2 linked regions of the Oryzias latipes genome follow. The protein of the gene in region 1 purifies or fractionates together with the protein of each later gene. This does not show direct contact. Links are inferred from orthologs where the notes say so. Each region holds a gene or a part of one and is shown in the gene's direction. Other genes may lie near its edges.

The links.
Region 2: the proteins of rad23b (region 1) and psmc2 purify together in Homo sapiens (affinity purification with mass spectrometry; 6 studies listed by BioGRID and IntAct, with this or other methods). This does not show direct contact. The link is inferred for Oryzias latipes from reciprocal best matches to the Homo sapiens genes RAD23B and PSMC2.

The regions. Positions count from the first base shown.
Region 1 is NC_019870.2:9,285,949-9,296,046, forward strand, and holds the start of rad23b (UV excision repair protein RAD23 homolog B), read left to right. Parts: upstream 1-4,711; 5' UTR 4,712-4,856; coding exon 4,857-4,922; intron 4,923-5,413; coding exon 5,414-5,495; intron 5,496-7,087; coding exon 7,088-7,167; intron 7,168-8,159; coding exon 8,160-8,359; intron 8,360-8,432; coding exon 8,433-8,482; intron 8,483-8,555; coding exon 8,556-8,683; intron 8,684-8,777; coding exon 8,778-8,910; intron 8,911-8,994; coding exon 8,995-9,122; intron 9,123-10,031; coding exon 10,032-10,098. UniProt on the Homo sapiens protein: Multiubiquitin chain receptor involved in modulation of proteasomal degradation. Binds to polyubiquitin chains.
Region 2 is NC_019881.2:9,539,591-9,549,688, reverse strand, and holds psmc2 (26S proteasome regulatory subunit 7), read left to right. Parts: upstream 1-5,080; 5' UTR 5,081-5,194; coding exon 5,195-5,264; intron 5,265-5,558; coding exon 5,559-5,596; intron 5,597-5,737; coding exon 5,738-5,819; intron 5,820-6,722; coding exon 6,723-6,822; intron 6,823-6,929; coding exon 6,930-7,061; intron 7,062-7,141; coding exon 7,142-7,214; intron 7,215-7,983; coding exon 7,984-8,079; intron 8,080-8,167; coding exon 8,168-8,332; intron 8,333-8,404; coding exon 8,405-8,492; intron 8,493-9,166; coding exon 9,167-9,369; intron 9,370-9,445; coding exon 9,446-9,542; intron 9,543-9,763; coding exon 9,764-9,921; 3' UTR 9,922-9,998; downstream 9,999-10,098. Other genes in the region: dnajc2 (dnaJ homolog subfamily C member 2), read right to left, coding at 1-47, 1,901-2,091, 4,692-4,752.

The DNA.
Region 1 (10,098 bases):
AGAAACACAGACGTCTATTTAAAAAAGCTGAAACAAACCGGCCAAAAGCCTGAAAATAACACGTTAAAACTCATGCGGAAGTTGTACTTGGTAGCAAAATTTCAACCAAGCCTGCTGCGTTTGCTGCTTCTTCTCTGTGGACGGTAAAAATCTGGGTCTGGACGGTTAGAATTGGAGCAGAACCCGGGTGGACTTCATGTCTGCAGCCATGTATAGAAACAAACTACTCGTTTAGTGTTTGAACTGTGCTGTTTCAGAAAGGATTCTTTAACCCTGGTTTCCTTTAGGTGTTCTCAGTTTTTGAAAGGAAAAAAAACAACTTCTCCTTAAGGGGGGGGATTAAGGGATTTAAGCCCCTGTCCAACATTATTACACTGTTGTACAATGTCTGGTTTTGAAGAAAAATGTCCTCCTTTCGTACTGTAATGAGAGCGGTAACCGAAGAGGCGCGCACGCCTTCACCTCCCTCCAGTTGAACTTGCTTTCTCCTCCTCTGGGCTTGGCCTAAATCCTCGGCCAGCCTCTATTCTGACACTCCACTGTCCATCCGGGGGGGGATTGCAGCTCTCACACTCCAGGTGAACCCCGCCTCGTCGCTCTCACTCCACCCCAGCGGTCGGTGGAGACGACGTCCGCTCCTGGAGACGCCGCAGGAGCGTGTGACCTCAACGCTTTGTGTTTGGCGGGCCCGGCTCGTCTTGTCTTGAGAGTGAACCGTAGTTGTAGAAATAAGCTCCGTGAGGCAGCTCGTCACCCAAATCCAACGGGAAGCAGGAGACCGCTTGGGACAATCTGGGTGCAAAGCTGTCGAGCCAACACCGTTTGTTGTTGTGTGGTTATTTGAATGGAAAAATGACTCTGAATCCCCTCACTGTGTGCAGCCTCTGGGCTGTAAATCTTCCCAGTTTACCCAAAGTGAAGCCCCTGCTGAAAACACTGGATACTTGTATATATGTTTAGTTGGTTTCTGATGCATTTCTCCTTTCAGACTGTTGTCTCCATAGTTGGAAACTAGGATTTCTCCTTCTTGCCTTTTTTCCCATATAAATCTGATGGTGGGTTGTGATGTTGCCTAGAATGATTGTTTACAATTTTATTCCATTTATCTCTGGATATTCTGTAAATATTGTAATTCATTGTCTTTTTTTAACTTGATAATAAAGTTATCAGATAACAGAGTATTGGGTCCTTATCTGCACAAATGTTTGTGTAGCTTTTCTAATGTCATTCATTCATTTTCTTAACCGTTTTATCCCTTTCGGGGTCACGGGGCTGCCGGAGCCTATCCCGGCCACTTGTGGGCAAAGGCAGGGGGGACACCCTGAACAAGTCGCCAGTTTGTTGCAGGGTAGAATGTCCTCACTCACACACACACCCATTCACTCCCGCACTCACACCTATGGTCAATTTAGAGTTGCCAATTAACCTATGAAGCATGTTTTTGGATGGTGGGAGGAAGCCGGAGACCCCGGAGAGAACCCACGCATGCACGGGGAGAACATGCAAACTCCACACAGAAAGGTCCCCCACTGATGTTCTGTTTTTCATGTCCCCCAGCCGGGACTTGAACCGGGGGCCTTCTTGCTGTGAGGCAAGAGCGCTAACCACTGCGCCACCGTGCAACCGCTTTTCTAATGTAAACATCAAACTATTGTATATTTGAGTAAAAGAATAGACTAATTGTGAGATAGACTAAAGAATCATCGGATTTGGACTTATTAAAAATTAACAGGTGCATTTTTTTCATATCTTTTAGCGTTTTCTCAAACTGCAAAAAGAGCAAAACTCCCAAACAAATTGTATATCTGATCATTTTTACAGACAGCAGGTCACCAAAGTTCTGCAAAGAAAGAATATCATAAAGTTAAATATTAAAGAAATACGGAAAAAACTATTTAAATATATATATATATATATATATATATATATATATATATATATATATATATATATATATATATATATATATATATATATATATATATATATATATTGATATTGATGTCCACTGTGGTGATAAGAATATTTAACACATTAGAAAAAACTCTTGGGTTAAAAAAAAAAGCTTTTATTTTATTTTAAAATCCTATTCTTTGACCAAAGCAATTATAAATCCACTTATTGATTTTCTGCCATTTTTAAAAATCCCCTGAGGAAAACCTCTTTTCCAATCCCAAGCTAACTTTAACGGTAACAAAAATGTGGGAGCTTTCCAGATGTACAATTTTGTTCCAGATGCCAGCTCAGACGAGGAAATCCATGGATCTGTGTATCTGGAAGTGGATGCTTGTGTCCACTGTAGCTCCTGCGTCGCTGCTACAGGATTTTTCCAACGGCATTTTTTCCTCTGATCCTGAATCCCAACGATTTGAATAAAGATATACTTTGAGCTCTTTTTTTTCTTTATATATGTACTCAATCCTTAAAAAAATTCCACAAAACATGTTAAAAATGCCTATTTCATTGGAGAGGGTCTTTAATAAGATTTTAGTTGCCCTTTGAGTAACCCTCAGCTGCCCCTTAGGGTTTTTCTTGAGAGAATCTGCTGACTCATGTTAGTGTCTGCCTTCAGACACTGTCATATGCCAGCAATGATTGCATAAAGTCATAATCCTGGTGTTTTCGGATGAAGATCAGGGACATTTTGGACCTTGTAGATGCAGAGCTGAGATGATGCTCTGTCACAAGTTTTCACAGAATGAATTCCTGCACAAGTGACTGCAGAGCATCTGTTCAAATCGGTAACAGTCTCTGCACCTTCTTGTTAGCAGGAAATAGCTTTGAGCTGAGAAGGCACCCCTGTGACCTTCACTGTCTGCTACACCCCTCCGTTTTCTCTGCACTCCACTCCAAACCCTGCAGAAGCTCTGCTGACCAGAAATCGCAGCTCCTTTCACACAAACCCGCAGCCTCATCAGCCAGTCTTCAACGACTGCCGGCTTTTCCAAAAGCCTCCATCCTCCACACTTCCTCTGCTGTCGTCTTTAGCTGTGCTCAGTCTTTATTTCACTTGTCTAACATCATCTCTTAAAAATATCTCCAAGTCACCAGGGATCAGATTGTAATCTCTGCGGCTCACTGCATCAGAGGGGGCCGGTGGCATGCTGACGACGCCTGGAGACAGAAGCGAGAGGCGCAGTCACGGTGACGAGGGAGGGGAGAGGAGGACAGCGCCGCTCCAGAGGGGAGCTACGTGAGGAATGTCTGATGAGAGCCCGGGCCAAGGCCGGTGTGGGCAAAGCTGCTCTAAAGATGAGGGGATGGAGCGAGAGCCAAAGATGAAAGAGGGGGTGCAGAGAAGGAAGCAAAATGTCTTTCTGAAGGCCTCAATGAGTCAAAGCAGCAAAGATCTGGCTGTTTGATGCAACCCTTCAACAGAATTTCTTGTTGTCTTAAAGTAAAAAAAAAAAGATTTCTACTCAGGCACAACATCAAAACCACCTTCCTGATTTGGAGCTCCTCTCATGTTACAAAAATAGCTCAGACTTATTGGGCCGTAGACGAGACTTCTCAAGGTTTCTCCTGGCGTCACGCTCCTCGACAAGAGCTGCAGATCCTGTGGGTGGTGGTAGTGGGTGGGTGGGGGGATCCAGGCCTCCATCACACTCCTGTGTCTTAGCCTCCCATGGAGGCTCACGAATAACGTAGACAACACCTGTAACCCTTGTGCTATCCTAGGCACTTTACTATTGGGAGTTGGGTCATCTAGACCCACTAGACAGTGCTCTGAACCTTTTTTCTTCAGTGATTTGTGATCTTCACTGGTGTCCATGGATTACATGAAATCTTTCCACCTTTATCCACCTTTGTCATGGTAGGGAGAACACGTCAATGTAAGGGTGGGGTCATCTAAGATAGCACAAGGGTTAAATCTCACAGTGTGATGATAAGCACCATAACTTTATGATCCACCAAATGTTTCCTAAACATTTGTTTACAACACTGTGGGTTGCGTTTAGGGGCGTATAGATTAATCGGCTTAAGCCATGAATCAATTTTTATTCCCACGACCTACCAGATCAATCGGTTTGAGCCAAGTTGTTATTCAAATTATAGAATCATTTTAAAAATAACTAAATTGATTATTTCGATATTTGCAAATACCATTTGGATTGAGGCACGGTAGGTTTCCAAGAGGAAACCTGTGTATGCACAGGGAGAACATACAAAATCCACACAGCAAGGTTCCAGCAGGGATTTGAACCTCTCCCAGTGGGGCAAGAGTGCTAACCACTATACAATTGTGCAGCCTACACCATTTAATACGTGAATTTAAAAAATAATTTAGTGTCAAAGTGCTAATTATTTGCTCCAATATTTGTGCTGTATATATTTTTTTTATTGTTATTGTTATGCTATTTTACTTTTTAAATCCTATTTAATTTAATTTTGTTTAAACAGCTGTGTGTTTAATGTTTAAATGACATGAAATCTGTGGTATTACTTTTCAGTATTACTTACTTATTCAGAGTGTTAGGAAAAAATAACATTCTGTTTTGATTAATTTTTATGTGAAAATGTGTATATATATTGAAAAAAACATATAGAATATAATGAAGAAAAATATATATAGAATATCCTCCACAATCAAATCAATTTAACCGTGGTGGGACCAACTGATTTGGATTTATTGTCCAGCAGATTATTTGATTAAGTTCAACGTGTAGCCACCAGGGGCGCTAGTGTGTTTTTTCATGAGGGGGGGGGGTTACCCGGTTTTACCGCCACAGAAGAAGAGAACCGAAAAATCATGGCGGCTGACAGTTTGTAATGAGCCAACGGAAAAAAGCGATTTCTTTCAAGTTAGATTTACAGATTTTTTTAAAATTGGAGCCAGAAGTAAACCGACCTACAACATGCTGATAACTTTAAAGACTTTGCAACAGCAGACCTTCAAAATCGACATCGATGAGGAAGAAACGGTGAGAAATATGCGCGAGCGGGAGTTGTTTATGTGGAGCAACTAAAACAGCAGTAAATGTTTTTTTGTTTGTTTTTGTTAAAAACATATTGACTAGAGTCATTACGCTAGCAAAATAATACTCTTTTGATTTAAAATAACATACAAAAACTCAGGCAAAATGTTGTTGTCTGTGCTTAAATGTAATGACGATAGTAAAGTTGTTTCTATTTACACGCCAGCCTTCGCACTGTTCCTAAACATTTATGACAGAGATCTTTTACTCCGAACTTTTACTTTCGATAAACTTTAAGGACATGCGCGTTATTCCTCTAAATCTGTTGCTAACAGCTAAGATTCAATGGTTGATGTCTGTAGCTAGATTTTAGAGGAGGTTTCCTTCTTAACAACAGAAACTTGGACCTTATGGCTCCAGAAGTGCTGAGTCATCTCACTGTGTGTATTGTTGTTTACTGCTAGTCATTGTTGTCAGTGTTGTTGTTTCTTCTGCAGGTGAAGACGTTAAAGGAGAGGATTGAGCAGGAAAAGGGGAAGGAGAGCTTTTCAGTGGCCGGGCAGAAGCTGATCTACGCCGGTATGATGGGTCCCTCCCTGCCTCTTTCTTCCTCTGAGTACTCACGTGATGTTTAGACCGGTTCTGATCAGTTTGCATCCATAGTCCTGGCAGGTTAAGATCCGGAAAGATCTGTACTCTTTGATTTGCCTAAAAGTTTTTTTTGTATATTTCTCTGCATATTTGACACAAAATTGCTTCAGATCTTAAACTGTCGGGTCTATAAAGTCCAGAAATCTAGAATTTTCAGCCTAAAATATTTAAAAATGCATTTAATTTGATGTCATTTGTCTTAAATTATGTATTTCTTTGCTGTGTTGTTTAATAGTGACCACAAGAATGATGATACGCTGCAAACACACTTTTGTTGACACACAAGTACTTTTTGGTACATAAAGTTTCACCAAAACCCATAAAATAGTTATTTTAGGTTCTGTTCCTCAATATTTTAAATGTGTCTTAAAGCGAACTGTGCTTTTATTTTGACATGCATGTTACAGCCTCAAAGACGCTGAAAAGAAACTTTAAAAAGACTACAAATTGATTGCTGACGTTATGTAAAATGATTGATTTAAGGCGATGACGATGTCTGCTGCTTCTGTTTGTATTCTAGAAGAATAGTTTTTTTGTCAATGTGGGCAAAAAAGTGTTAAAATTCTGACTGTCGTTACAAACATAGTTTAGTTTTGACTTCAGAATAAAATAAAATCGCTAGATACCTGCACTTTATGTTTTACATCAGGGTGAAGGGATCCAACTGGATCCTATGTTAGGCTAACCCGGGTCCGGCAAATTCTATGTTCAAATCAGCTTCACCCAGGAAGCATTGAATCAAATCGAACATTATTTAGAAAGTGCTTTTCCTACAAGTGCTTTACATTAAAGAAAAACCAAATAAATAATATAAAAACAAGCACGAAAATTAAAATAGAACCCCCTCCCCAGACCTACACACAGCCCCCTCCCCCCCTAACTGATGGGGATCGACAATGGGAAACAGGCTTGCGCGTCTGTGCACATTTGGACTCCAAGTTGAGTACAGAAATCATTGTGTCACCTTTAGAGCTCACATGAGCACAAAAAAAGCACCAAAACGTAAAGCTTCCACACCAATCCTTTCCAAAAAATACAGTTTTCCCATGATTCATTGGTGAGAAGACAGATGGAGGTTAGCGAACCACTTCTGTAGCTTCTTATGCTTTTAAAAGAACTTTCTTGATTCGATTGATGCATTTGTGGCTCAGTAGTTGCTTGTTTTTCAGCCTCATTTGATCCAAATCATCAACAGAACGGGACTGGGCTTCAATTTACTGCTTTATGCCGGATTATTATGGGTTTTTTTAAGTCAATGATTGACAGATGTGTTTATGCTTTTCTGCTTTAATGGGTAGAGCGCTGCAGTTGAAGTGAATATCATGAAAAATAGGAGTCAACAAAAGATTTTGGTTGAGAATAAAGATAAATGCTTAGAAATTAACTTTTAAAAACAGATTTTGTGTAAATGACCATCATTTGTGTGACCGGCACAGATCCTCGTTTTCTAGTTTTCAGAGCGAGTAAAACCCAGACGGATGTCGTCCATCCCTCAGAAATCCTTTTCTGCTTCTTTCCAGGAAAAATCCTCAGCGACGACACGGCCCTCAAAGAATACAAAATCGATGAGAAGAACTTTGTGGTCGTCATGGTGACAAAGGTCGGTGAATTACAAACCGCTGGTGAATTGCAAGCTTGCTTGGAACCTTTATATCCCTCCGTTTTGTTCCTTTATTCGTAAGCGAATCCCTTTGGTGACTTTCTCCTCTTTTTTTTCACACCGTGTCTGAGTGTCAACCGCCTCTGCTGGTGTGCGGGGCTGCACACCTGTCTGATGCTGAGCTCCTAAAACCTCCACAAAAGCAACTTTCTTTAATTCACCCCCTAAAATATCAAAGATTGGAATAATTTCACTAAAAGCAGAGGTGGTCTTATGTCATCACACTTGTTTAGAAGTTCCTCTATGCTTTTATTTTGGCGGGTGGAATTGAAGGGGAGGAATACAATTTGGAGATTCAAACTTTTGTTTTTTAAGATCATTTTTTTGTTTTAGCTGCTGTGCTTTCATGCGGACAGATGCTAACAGATTTCAGATCTGTTAAAAGAAACAAAATTCACTTCCTGTTTTAGGATGGAGTCTCATTTAGCGGTATTGTGTGTGTGTTTTTTTGTTCCAATCGTGATTGTAACTTATAGCGAATCTCGATGCAGAGCAGCCGTTTTTTTCCTTTGCTGCTGAGGGGATGTGGGAGGGCAGCACCCACCGCTACAAAAAAAAAAGAAAAGGCGACAACTTTATTTTAGCTGCCAAAAGACAAGTTTAAATCTTTATTCTAAACACAATAATGCAAAAAGGATGGGAAGAAATTTAATATCAATAAAATGTTTGAGGCTGCACAGCAAGTTTATGAAAAACCATTAAGTTCTCATTATTATTCAGACAAAAATAAGCAAGAATGCAGATTGGTTTTATTTTGAAACTTTGTCAAGGGATAAAAGGGTTTTGTTGCTGCTTCCTAAAGCAAATGTTACATGATCTTTAAACTGTTTTTGATTAAAACAAACCCGAATTTAGGAGTTTCAAAAAGTCATCAAACATTTAAAGTACCATTTTACCTCACAAAGTTTGGGGAACATGCTTTTATTTTGTAGCCTAAAACTGCTGCGCCCAGCCCAAAGTCTTCGTCAGCCTCTTCATCAGCTCCTTCATCGGCTCCCAGCTCTGCGGCTGCTGCAGCGGCCCCCACCCCACCATCTGTTGCAGACAAACCTGCAGAAGTAGCACCTGCTGACAAGCTGGAAGAGAAAGAGTCTTCCACAGCCGAGCCGCCGCCACCGCCGCCTCCCGCCAGGTAAAAGGCGCCTCCGTGTTTGTGGTTCTCGCTCTGAGGCATCCGACCTCACCGCTGTTTGATCCTCTTTCAGGAGCTCAGAGTCTTCGACAGACCTGCTCAGCGAAGCCGTTTCCACTCTGGGTGAGCCTGCTGCGGTGTGGGCGGCGAGCTGAGAGGTGAACTGGCCGTTTAAACTGTTGGTTTGTCTTCCCAGTGACGGGTTCGTCCTACGACACCATGGTGAACGAGATGATGCTGATGGGCTATGAGAGGGAGCAGGTGGTGGCCGCTCTGAGGGCCAGCTACAACAACCCCGACAGAGCCGTGGAGTACCTGCTCTCTGTAAGACACGCCCCCAACCCTCCCACAGCCAATCCAAAGCCAGGGTGCTGTCTTCCACACGAAAAGGTGGAGTTATTGTCGGTGTCACCCCTAGGGTATCCCGGGTCAAGATCAAGGCTCCAGAACCGGACCCGATTCCACGCCTGCAGTGAGCGAATCTCCAGCTGCGCCTGCAGGGGGCACCGCCGCTCCCACCAGCACCGAGTCCTCACCGAGTGCAGGAGGGGGTACGACAACCACATTTCTTTTTTTTTCCTTTCTTTTGACGCCCTAATAAAAGCAATATTTGCTTCCACTTTCTGGACCATCAGGAAATCCTCTGGGCTTCCTCAGAAACCAGCCTCAGTTCCACGTCATGCGGCAGCTGATCCAGCAGAACGCCGCGCTGCTCCCAGCGCTCCTGCAGGAGATCGGCAGAGAGAACCCGGAGCTGCTGCAGGTGAGGAGCAGACCTCCACCAGCCCAACAACAAATCCAACAAAGCAGGCTTCCATGAACAGGAATGTTCAGGAACATCTGGCTAAGTTTAAAAACAGAAAAACAAAGCAAAGAAAAGAAACACAATGTGAAGAAAAGAAAAAAAGAAGCTATTTTAGGAGGGAAACCATCTGTAAATTTGTCGAATTCTCCCTTGGTTCCCATTTTCAGTGAAGCAACTCGCTAGCATTACTAACATAGTTGCTAAAGGAAATACTATGAAAACGTCGCACCAGACGGAGAACCACAGAAGAAGAGGATGAAAAACAAGAACATTAAGAAGAACAAACATAAAAATGTGTATCAGAAAACAAAAAAACAGGAATTGTTTTTTTCTCAGAAATCTGATTTTAAGGTTTCAATGCAACGAAAAATGGCGACATCTGGTGGCCAGTTGAAGCCATAGCAGCCTCTGACCTCATCCTGGGAAAAAAGCGTCTGCTGATGCCTTCTTCATCTGCATGCACAAATCTATTACATTTTAATTCTTTTATTTTCCAATCAATTGATGACTAATAATTCTAAGTTAGATGTATGTGTGGATAGATATACATTCATTCCAATCCTCACACTCTGATGCTAAAAAAAACCCCTCTGGAATAAATAGAATAAACAAAATGAGAAAAGGCAGTTTTTTTTCATAGAAAAACTTTATTTAAAACGCATGACTTGCTTTAAAGTGGCTTCAATGACAGCGATGTGGTATGAATGAACACAGACTAATCATAATAAAATGTTTTTAAAGCTTTTATTGTGAAGCTTCCATGAGAATCTGCAGCAGAACTGTTTAACTCATATTATGTCAAATCATTTTTAGTCTCTATCGGATTTTTGATGCTCCATTCTTCGAGTCTGTCATTTGCTTCTGCAGGAGATCAGCAACCACCAGGAGCAGTTTATCCAGATGCTGAATGAGCCAAATCCTGATCCAGTGCCAG
Region 2 (10,098 bases), on another chromosome or scaffold:
TTGTACCGCAGGTGTGGGAGGCCAAGGACGGCATAGTGATCCTGGTTCTGACAGACAGAAAGACCAAAACTCAGGGTTCGTGTTGAGCAACGAGAGCGACAGTTCAAATCAAATGGATAATTACCATGACTTTATGCATTAATGCGGACCAAATAAAGACTAATGGTTGTTTGTAATGTTTAAATATTTGGCTTTAAGTCTCATATGCTGATTCCATGAACTTTAGTTGTGTTGACTTCAAGTGCATCATAAACAATAAATTATGTTATAAAGTAACTTAAAAAAATAAATCACCCAATCCTTTTGACTAACATCTACATCTGACAGTAATAATGATGATGAACCTCCAGCAACTTGTTGCTTTGTGTTTCTAACCCTTCCTCCTTCCTTAACCCCCCTTTTTTTCTTCTCTTTCTTTTGTAGCCCCCCTCCCTCTGATATCCCCCTAGCCCTTTTCTACCCCCCTCCCTCCCCCCAATCCGGTCCTTCAAGAAATGCATACCAACATAATTAATATAAATGAAGTTTAGCCTTAAATCCAAAAGGGGTTTATACTCCTCATGTGTCTGAAGAATAATGTAATAATTGTAGATGTGCTGAAAGAAAACTGAGCTAATGTACCGCAGCCATTAGTCTTATTAGGCTACAAACTAAGAAGTAAAAAAGTAAGGATGGTTCACAAATAAAAACTAAGTGCAATAATTTGTAGATCACACCTTTTCTGCAAACAAAAAATAAAAAGCTAGAATGAAACATTTTAGAGGCTCATGTAATAAATACTGCATATTCATTTTAAACTAAAAAAAAAGTCACATCAAAATGTTTAGGTTTAAGCAACAAAAGGCTGCAGAATTTCATGAGATGAAGACGGCTTATTAAAAAGTAAATACAGAAGTGCTTCAGATTAGCTGGGACCAAAAATGTTTTGAGGTCAATTAGAAAACTGCAAACTGGTACTAAGATCAAACAAATCCAGTTTAAAATACAGGCTGGCCCTTTCACTCTGTACTAAAACTAGAGCCAAGTCAGTTCACCAAATTACCACTGGGTGGTTTGTGACAAAAAAAAGAAAATCTGCATTAACGACAGTGTGAAATGAGACAGCTTCTCCAAAACATTTAAAAGTTCAACTGTGTCTCCAAAAGCTTGTTTACTTGGTGAACAGTTCTGGCAATAATTTTTCCTGAACTTCTTTTTTGGGATCAAAATGCTGTTAAATGGTTTCGTCATGGACAGGTGAGTTGAGTGCTGTTAAATTGGGCATTTCCAACTGCATGAAAGGTGTTTTTCTTTTGATCTATTTGACAAAGTCAGAAAAGGTAATTTTTTAGGGATCTATCATCTTATCTCAGAAAAAACTGTTTTGAATGAGCCTAAAAATCTCCTAGGTTATGTCACCACAGGGAAACAAGCACAAGTCTGAAATGACCTTTTGGGCCTGCTCTCATCAAGCCGCCTGGCCGGTCAGACGGCGGTCGCAATTGAAAAGATCGGATACGTTTCGGAATCAGGACGGCATACCCAAGTGGCCTGGGTCGCAATTGAAAAGATCGGATCTGTGTCGTTCAGACTGTCTTGAAAAGATCGGAATTGTGTTGCATAGGGGCAAAAAAATTGGAATTGGGTCGTTTCAGCCTGCAGTGTGAACGTAGCCCCAGATCTTCGCTGACAATATTCCACATTCTTCTAACCAATATATACTCCACCTGTTACAAAAGGGCTTTGGTTTAACTGTTAAGATTTTTAACCACATAAAAACATGTTTACAAACTTGTTTGGAGCTGGCTGGCAGGGCGTTTTTTTTTTCATGTTATGAAGCTGGGCCAAACCGAGTGGTGCTTCATCTAATAAAATAAACTGTGAGAAAATGTAAATTTATTTATAAACACATCACTGATACCTTCCAGTCTTTGGGGTCGAGCGTTCGCAGCATGGGATGCTCCTCCAGCAGAAGCTCCTCATCTTCCGACTCCTCTGAAGACTCCTCTTCATCCTCCAACTCCTGGAAGGAAGCCGACACATTCCTGTTTCTTCTCCTTAGATACGCTTCAAACCATCGACCCACCGGCTCCACCTGAACAAGGACAGAAGCTGTGGGTCGAAAGACAGCTGTTAATGCTCCGCATCACATGAGTGAAAACTGCTTTTTTTTTTTTAAATAATTTCCAGCCTACAGAAAAACCACACATTGTATAAGAGAAGTGAGCACCCCCCCCTCCCCCCCGGCTTGCTCTGGGGGTGGGTGGTGTGGGGCCTGGGGGGGTCGGCGCTTCGGGGAATGGGACCCCGGGGCTGTTTGACTACCAGCGGACAGTCTACTAGCTCTCCCCGACTTATCCTACACACCTTTTACCCCTCAAACTATACACTCCAACACACACACATACATGCACACACACCCTCACAAACACACACACATACATTTCACAAGGAAGGTGGGACCTTGGACTATCTGACCCCTACCCCATCCCTGGAGGGGGGTACGAGGCCCTCAGTGACGGCAGCCGTGTCCCTTGGGTGCTGGCTTCCTGGGCCCGGCAACCCTCTCTCCACGCAGGGAGAGGGATCCCTGAGTTCTCTGGCAAGACCTAAAGCCGGGGATCGCAAAAATTCCAACTGCAGGTGAGCCTGGTCGGGCCATGTTTACAACACTCCTTGTGGACCCCCACTTCTCTAGGGCGTCCAACCGTGGGCGAGGTGGATGGCTGCCTGGAGCGTGGGCCGGGTCTTCCTTGGCGGACCCTGGCTCGTCCCTGGGGTTGGGGCAGGGGGAACTCCTGGGTGGTGGTGGGGTGCTCGTCTGGGGCAGTCTCTTCTGGTTGGGCTGGAGCTTGCACTCTCTGTCCCCTCATGCCTCCCTGCTCTTGGGCTTTGGGGAGGGGACCCCTGTGGCAGGAGCCTTGGTGTGGGAATTGTTGGGCATTCCCCCTTCTTTTTACATTGCATTATCCACTTTAGATGAACATAAACACTCACTCGAGCACAGGTGTTAGCTCATTTTTGCACAAATAGTTTGCGTGATTAAATGAATATTTCACACTAGGTGGTTTGTACTGTGTACATGTTGACATGTGGACATTTTTGGAGCCAGCAGATATGTTTATAACAATTGGGTGTGGACAGGCCCCGGCCCTTCTAGATTTGTATTATATTTGAACCTGACCATAATGATTATCACAATCCAGCAAGTAGTTGCTCTATGCTGTTTCATGACCCCCCCACCCCCACCCCCCAACATCCTTCTCCCTTCCTCCCTCCTTTTCTTTTCCATCCGGTCCAACACAAATTAAAAATGTTTTTTAAAATATGATTGAAATGAATAAGGTTTGGCCTAGATCACAATAGGGGACATACCTCTAGTTTGTCAAAAGATTTATAACCATTGTTGTTAAAATAAAATATGTCCCACACAAGGGGTATTCGGAAAAAAATTTCTGCTGGATTTGTACCTAGCTTTTTGATGGACAGACATAAAACTAATGAAGTACTCCCATAAAATGCTTCTCCTAATCCTTGTTCATGTGATTGCATCACTTTTTTGTGATATGGTACCACCTAGTTTTCTCTGTTCTCACCTGAATCCCATTGATGTCAGATCTGTTTTTCTACATTTCATGTTGACAAATGGTCAAGATTTTGGCTATACCATTCTTTCATTCATCTTCTGAACCCGTTTTGTCCCTTACGGTGTCACGTGGCTGCCGGAACCTATCCCAGCCACTCGTGGGCGAGGGCAGGGGACATCCTGGAAAGTTTGCCCGTCTGTCGCAGGGCCACAAATCACGCACCCATGCACATTCCTACCTAAGGACAATTTAGAGTCCCTTGCCTCAATTAACCTATCAACCATGTTTTGGACGGTCGGAGGAAGCCAGGGTCTCCGGAGAAAACCCATGCATGCATGGGGAAAACATGCAAACTCAACACAGAAAGGTCCCCATTGATGTTCTGTTTCAGGACATGAAAATTCATGCTGTGAGGAAAGAGCCCCAACCACTACACCACCATGCAATTTTTATAGTAATTTAGTGATCCTGCATAACAAAGATTAGAATGTAATCAAACACTACATCATCAGTCCTTCAAAAAAGTGCACTAATGCCTCTTTTTACTGGAGATTAATCTCTAACTTCAAACTTATTATTTTCCCAAAAAGTTAGTTGTAAAATATTTCAATTCGATTGTGACAACAAGGTCAAAAAAGTTATTCTGATTACAGTATCAAGTCCAACTGTGGTTCATTAGTGAAAAGTGTTATTCCAGAATCAGTAAGGTTTGCTAATATTATTACAGCTAATATGGTCACAGCAGTCTGGTTTACAGAGGATGTACTTTACATAATAAGCATTTTAATACCATATGGGACTTTACCATTTTAGAATTTGTAATTTTTTAAAAATCATTTAAATTTTTGGGTTAGCTAAAAATGTGTTACTTCAGAGGAGAATGGAAACTTGGATTAGGAATTCTACCCTTACCCCTTCAATGTTTAGAGCCCGTGAATTTGTGTGGCACTGTCAGATCATGCCACCAACAAGTCATCTAAATAATAATCCCAACGTTATAACTCACAACGTTTAAGAATTTAAACATTTGTTTGATTTCTTAAGCTTTTTTGAACAACTGCGTAAGAGTAGGTCCATAAAGACCGATATGATATTAGCTGCGACCCGGCGGCCTCCACTACTTACCGGCAACCGCCTTTAGCACCGCGGTCTCCTCGGTATTCTTTGCTTCTAGCAGCATCTTCATAACATAACCGTCTCAAACATACACTTCCCAGCGTTGGTAAAGTAGTCCGAAGTGCTAAAGTTTAAGGGTCGCTCATTGACGGACCACATGGGCCTCCTCCCGGTGTGCACGCAAATCGAAGGAGCTCAGTGACTTCTGAGTCGCTATTATAGTTCCGCCTTTTTGGTTCCGCCACAACTTCTTTGAGTAGCCCCTTTTTTCATACATACATACAAATAATAACGTTATATAGCGGAATTATTTTTTAGCAGTATATACATTGATCGAAACACCGAGGACTTTTTGAGAAAACTGTTTTTAGAGAGAGTGTCCCATCAATTCGAGTCCCTTCTGGACTTCCGGGTAGCGGCGGAAGTGTAAAGTTGCTGTGTAATCGCTCGGTCTGGCAGTAGAAATAGCCCAGCATACGTGACAAAAGCGTTCGTTTGTATCAACTTTAAACATGCCTGATTATTTGGGAGAAGATCAACGGAAAACCAAGGAAGAAGAAAAAGATGACGCACCCATTCGAGGTTTATACAAAACCAATATTATAATCTCAACAACAATACTGTCGGATGTCATGTCGACAAACAAGCTAATTGTCTCTTAGCTCTCGTTTTTTCCTCTATTTTAAAACAACGCAATAGTTTTAGGTTGTTCCAATGATGGCCCATTTTTTATTTTTAATCAAAAACAATGTGTTTATAGTGAACAGATAAAAATGTTTCTTATTTTTAACATGATGACCAGTGTTGTAGCAATCAATGCTAACTGCCGGCTGAAATAGCGAAGTCATATTCCTGTTTTTTATTTTTTTCTGGTAGCTTTGGATGAAGGCGACATCGCACTGCTCAAAACATACGTAAGTTTTTCTCAAAGTGGTCAAATTTCAGAGTTGTTTTTTTTTTTCTTTCTTAAATTATTTTATTTTAATTTTATTCATTTATTTTTAGTTTTATTCTAAACGTCAAATATTGACCAAAGTTTGTCGTGGCTTTGCCAGGGTCAAAGCACCTACTCCAGACAGATCAAACAGGTAGAGGATGACATTCAGCAGCTTCTCAAGAAGATCAACGAGCTTACAGGTGGGTGAACATGGAACCTGGTCATTCCCAGGTGTTTTACCAAATATTGAAATATCTTTATTGTCATTGTACATGTTCAACAAAATTACAGTGCAATTTTTCAGTAGAATAAAAAGGGCATAATAAATAAAAAGGTATTTAGGACAGGAAATAAACTACATCGATTTCATTAGATATACCCAGTGATTACATTTGATTTATTTTATGATCCAGTTAAGATATATCCTCTTCTTCTTTTCCTTTCGACCACAGCCAACCAACTTCCTCTGTCCATCCCTGTCTTCTGCATCCTCTCCTCTAACACCAGCTACATTCATGTCTTCCTTCCCTGCATCCTGAAACCCTCTCTTTGATCTTCTTCTTAACCTTTTGCCTGTCATCTCTAGACTCAGGATCCTTCTCCCAACAAATTCACTGTCTCTCCTCTGGACATGTCCCAATCATCTCAGTCTGACCTCTCTGACTTAAACTCCAAAACATCTAACATGTGCTGTTAATTACACAGGGCCTTATCTGTGTATAATTAATATTTGTTAATGGTTTAATTAATCATTGTAATTTTTAAATGAACATTTATTTCGTTCTTTATTTGTGAACATCATTTTGTTTATTTATTTGTTGTGTTTATTGTACTTTAAAGTCTCATTTAATAAAAAACAACAGTAGATACAGGTTTCCACCAGTCCTAGACAAAAAATGGACTTTGTCAACTTTATACCAACAATAATATTAAAACACATTAAACAAGTTTAATAGACGCACAAAATGTTCAACTAGTAGTTAAGATAAAAATGATAGAATATTTAGAGGAATAAAATAAGAAAGAGAACGATCTCTCAATAAAAACATTGTATGATATTTGCAACATAACATGCAGTTTATTTGTGATTTTGAATTTGTCAGGCATCAAAGAGTCTGACACAGGCTTGGCTCCACCGGCACTTTGGGATCTGGCTGCTGACAAACAGACTCTGCAGAGTGAGCAGCCTTTACAAGTGGCAAGGTAAAACAGCCTGCCTTTTTAGTTTTAAAGACCCTGTGTCACTTTTTTTAAAATTTCATTTAGTCTTTCTTCCTCTTCTAAAAATCTTTATGATAAATGTGTTTTAGATGCACTAAGATCATCAACGCAGACTCTGAAGACCCTAAATATATCATCAATGTCAAACAGTTTGCTAAGTTTGTGGTGGATTTGAGTGATCAGGTGGCTCCAACTGACATTGAGGAAGGCATGAGAGTTGGGTGAGTCTCATATGATCATGACATGTCAATCACAAGCCGATTTATATGTCTCTAGCACACATTTGTACTTGTTGTTGCAGGGTTGACAGGAACAAGTATCAGATCCATATTCCTTTACCTCCCAAGATTGACCCCACTGTAACTATGATGCAGGTACGCAGTGGCAGAGTTTGGATAAAAACATGTGTGCGCTTGATTGTTGTTTTATTCATGTTCCCAGAGTGGCTGAACAGAAATGCATGCAAAACATGGAACAAAATGCAAAGAACATTGGGCCATATTATACATATTTTTCTAAATATTTTGATGAACTTGTTCCCAACACTCCTCTGGAAAAATTAACATCATATTCAAAATTCATGACCTGTTCTTTAGTAGAGGAAAAAGTTCTTAGGTCAAAGCCATAAAGTGCATAAACACCAGAGTTGGACACACCCTCATGTGACCTATCCTTTTTGTTATGGCAAATTAGAAGCCAGTTAGCTATCTTTTTTTAAACACATTTGCCACTTGTTGCAGCTATCGTAAAGCTAACAGTTGGACTAGTTAAATTTACATATGAGAATTATATCAATAAAATATGAATCACTAGATGTTCAATCTAGCCACCGGAGTGACAAAAATGGTTTGATCCAAAATGTAATTTATTTTTGTTGTCAAGGTGGTTTGTTTCATAAATAAGATAGACTTGATATATAGGTACATTCTAAGCTCTTCTTATTTGTAAAGATTTTGTCCTTGTCAAAACGAATCAAAATAAAAAGTGTGAAAGAAATTCCAAAAGCCTAAAAAAAAGTGATTTAAAAGTGTTTTGTTGGTAAACAAGGCTAGTCTTCAGATAAAAGTGTACAGATTCATGGTTTTTCTTAAAGATCAAAGCAAAATGACTCATTTCTTAGTTTGTGCTAACTCTGTGGTGCAGGTGGAAGAGAAGCCTGATGTAACCTACAGTGATGTTGGTGGCTGCAAGGAGCAGATTGAGAAGCTGAGAGAAGTGGTTGAAACTCCACTGCTCCATGTGAGTTTTCAGCATCCAGATCACCTGCACTGTTTGGGGAAAATGAACACAGCTTCAGTCCTTTGTTCTCTCTTTTTTTTTTCATCAGCCTGAAAGGTTTGTCAGCCTGGGCATCGAGCCTCCTAAAGGTGTGCTTCTGTTCGGGCCACCTGGCACGGGGAAGACCCTGTGTGCCCGAGCCGTGGCCAACAGAACTGATGCCTGCTTCATTCGAGTCATCGGTTCTGAGTTGGTTCAAAAATATGTGGGAGAGGTGAGCTCGCTTGTGACGAAAGAGTATATTTTGCTTCCATCAACGTTCACGCCGTGTCGTCTGTAACCGCAGGGAGCCAGGATGGTTCGGGAGCTGTTTGAGATGGCAAGAACCAAAAAAGCTTGCCTGATCTTTTTTGATGAGATTGATGCCATTGGAGGTGAGATTGATGCGTTTATGACCTCACTGAGAGGCCTCATGCCATGTAGTCATGTGGTCGATGGTTCACGCTTCTTAAGGATGCTGATTGGTTAAAACCTTTACTTGAGCACAGATGGAGAAACGTGACATGTTTTGTTTGACGGCACATGTTTAAACTTCAAGGAAATGAAACAAAATGTATATATTTTAACATGTTTACCCTGTGTGTTAACCAGCTGATGTAATGCAATGTTGTAGCTAAAAGGAAATGTTATGTGCAGAAATGCAGTGTCCAGAAAATTTCATTCAAAGGAAACATTTTAAAAAGGATCCACATTATTCAGGGTTTGAAAATAAGATTTTTTTATCAAAATAGTAGTCCTTCCCAAATTTCTTTTTTGTTTCATGTTTTATTGCTCAATTGATCAAAAACTTTTTTATAGATCCATAATTTTACTGTATTTATGTCCAAAAACAACCACATTCCTCAGAGTGAGAAATCTTTCTGGAAGAACAGAATCTTTCAAATTACCTAAAGTGTTGTTTACCAAACTAGATGTTATTTTAGAAACATTGCTTCTGTGCAGGTCAGAGGTGAAGGAAGTTTTTGTCATCAGTCGTCCTGAAAGGAGAAGAGCTTTGTTTCTTACTGGCCTTTTAGCAAAAAAAGAAAATATGAAATCTTTCTCCCAGGTGCTCGTTTTGATGATGGGGCTGGGGGGGACAATGAGGTCCAGAGGACCATGCTTGAGCTTATCAACCAGCTGGATGGTTTCGACCCACGAGGCAACATCAAAGTGCTCATGGCCACCAATAGACCGGACACTTTGGACCCGGCTCTGATGAGACCTGGGCGCCTGGATAGGAAGATCGAGTTCAGCCTTCCTGACCTGGAAGTGAGTTTTCCTTACAGGGATACTCAGAAAAGTTGTTGGTAAAGTGTAATCACGGTCTGTTTTGTGCATCTTTTAGGGTCGCACTCATATTTTCAAGATCCACGCCCGCTCCATGAGTGTGGAAAGAGACATCCGCTTTGAGCTTCTGGCCCGTCTGTGCCCCAACAGCACTGGTAAGACCAAAGCTCCTTTACCTTCATTGTTCCCCACTTACTCATGGCTGTTTCTGTTGTAGGTTATAAACATAAAAAAGTTTTTTTTTTCTACTTTGTTCACCAAAGCTGAATTGTGGTCACAAGATTACAGTGTATTCAACACAATAGGCCTGTGTTGTTGGGAAAACTACTTTAAAAAGCAAATAACATTCTCTGTTTAAAACAATCTTTTCAATCAGGTGCTGAGATCCGCAGTGTGTGCACAGAGGCCGGCATGTTTGCCATCAGAGCTCGCAGGAAGATCGCTACAGAGAAGGACTTCCTGGAGGCTGTAAACAAGGTCATCAAATCCTACGCAAAGTTCAGCGCCACCCCCAGATACATGACATACAACTGAGGACTCCTGGTCTACTGCTAAAGAAACAGTCAATGCTTTTGTTGTCACCGAAAAATAAAGTTTATTCCACATTTAGATCTGAGTTCCTGAATAACATTTTCTCAAAAGGCATCTTGTGTTCTCCAGCAGCATTTTTAACAAAACTAAAATTAGTTTTTCAGACAAATGTTTTGACAA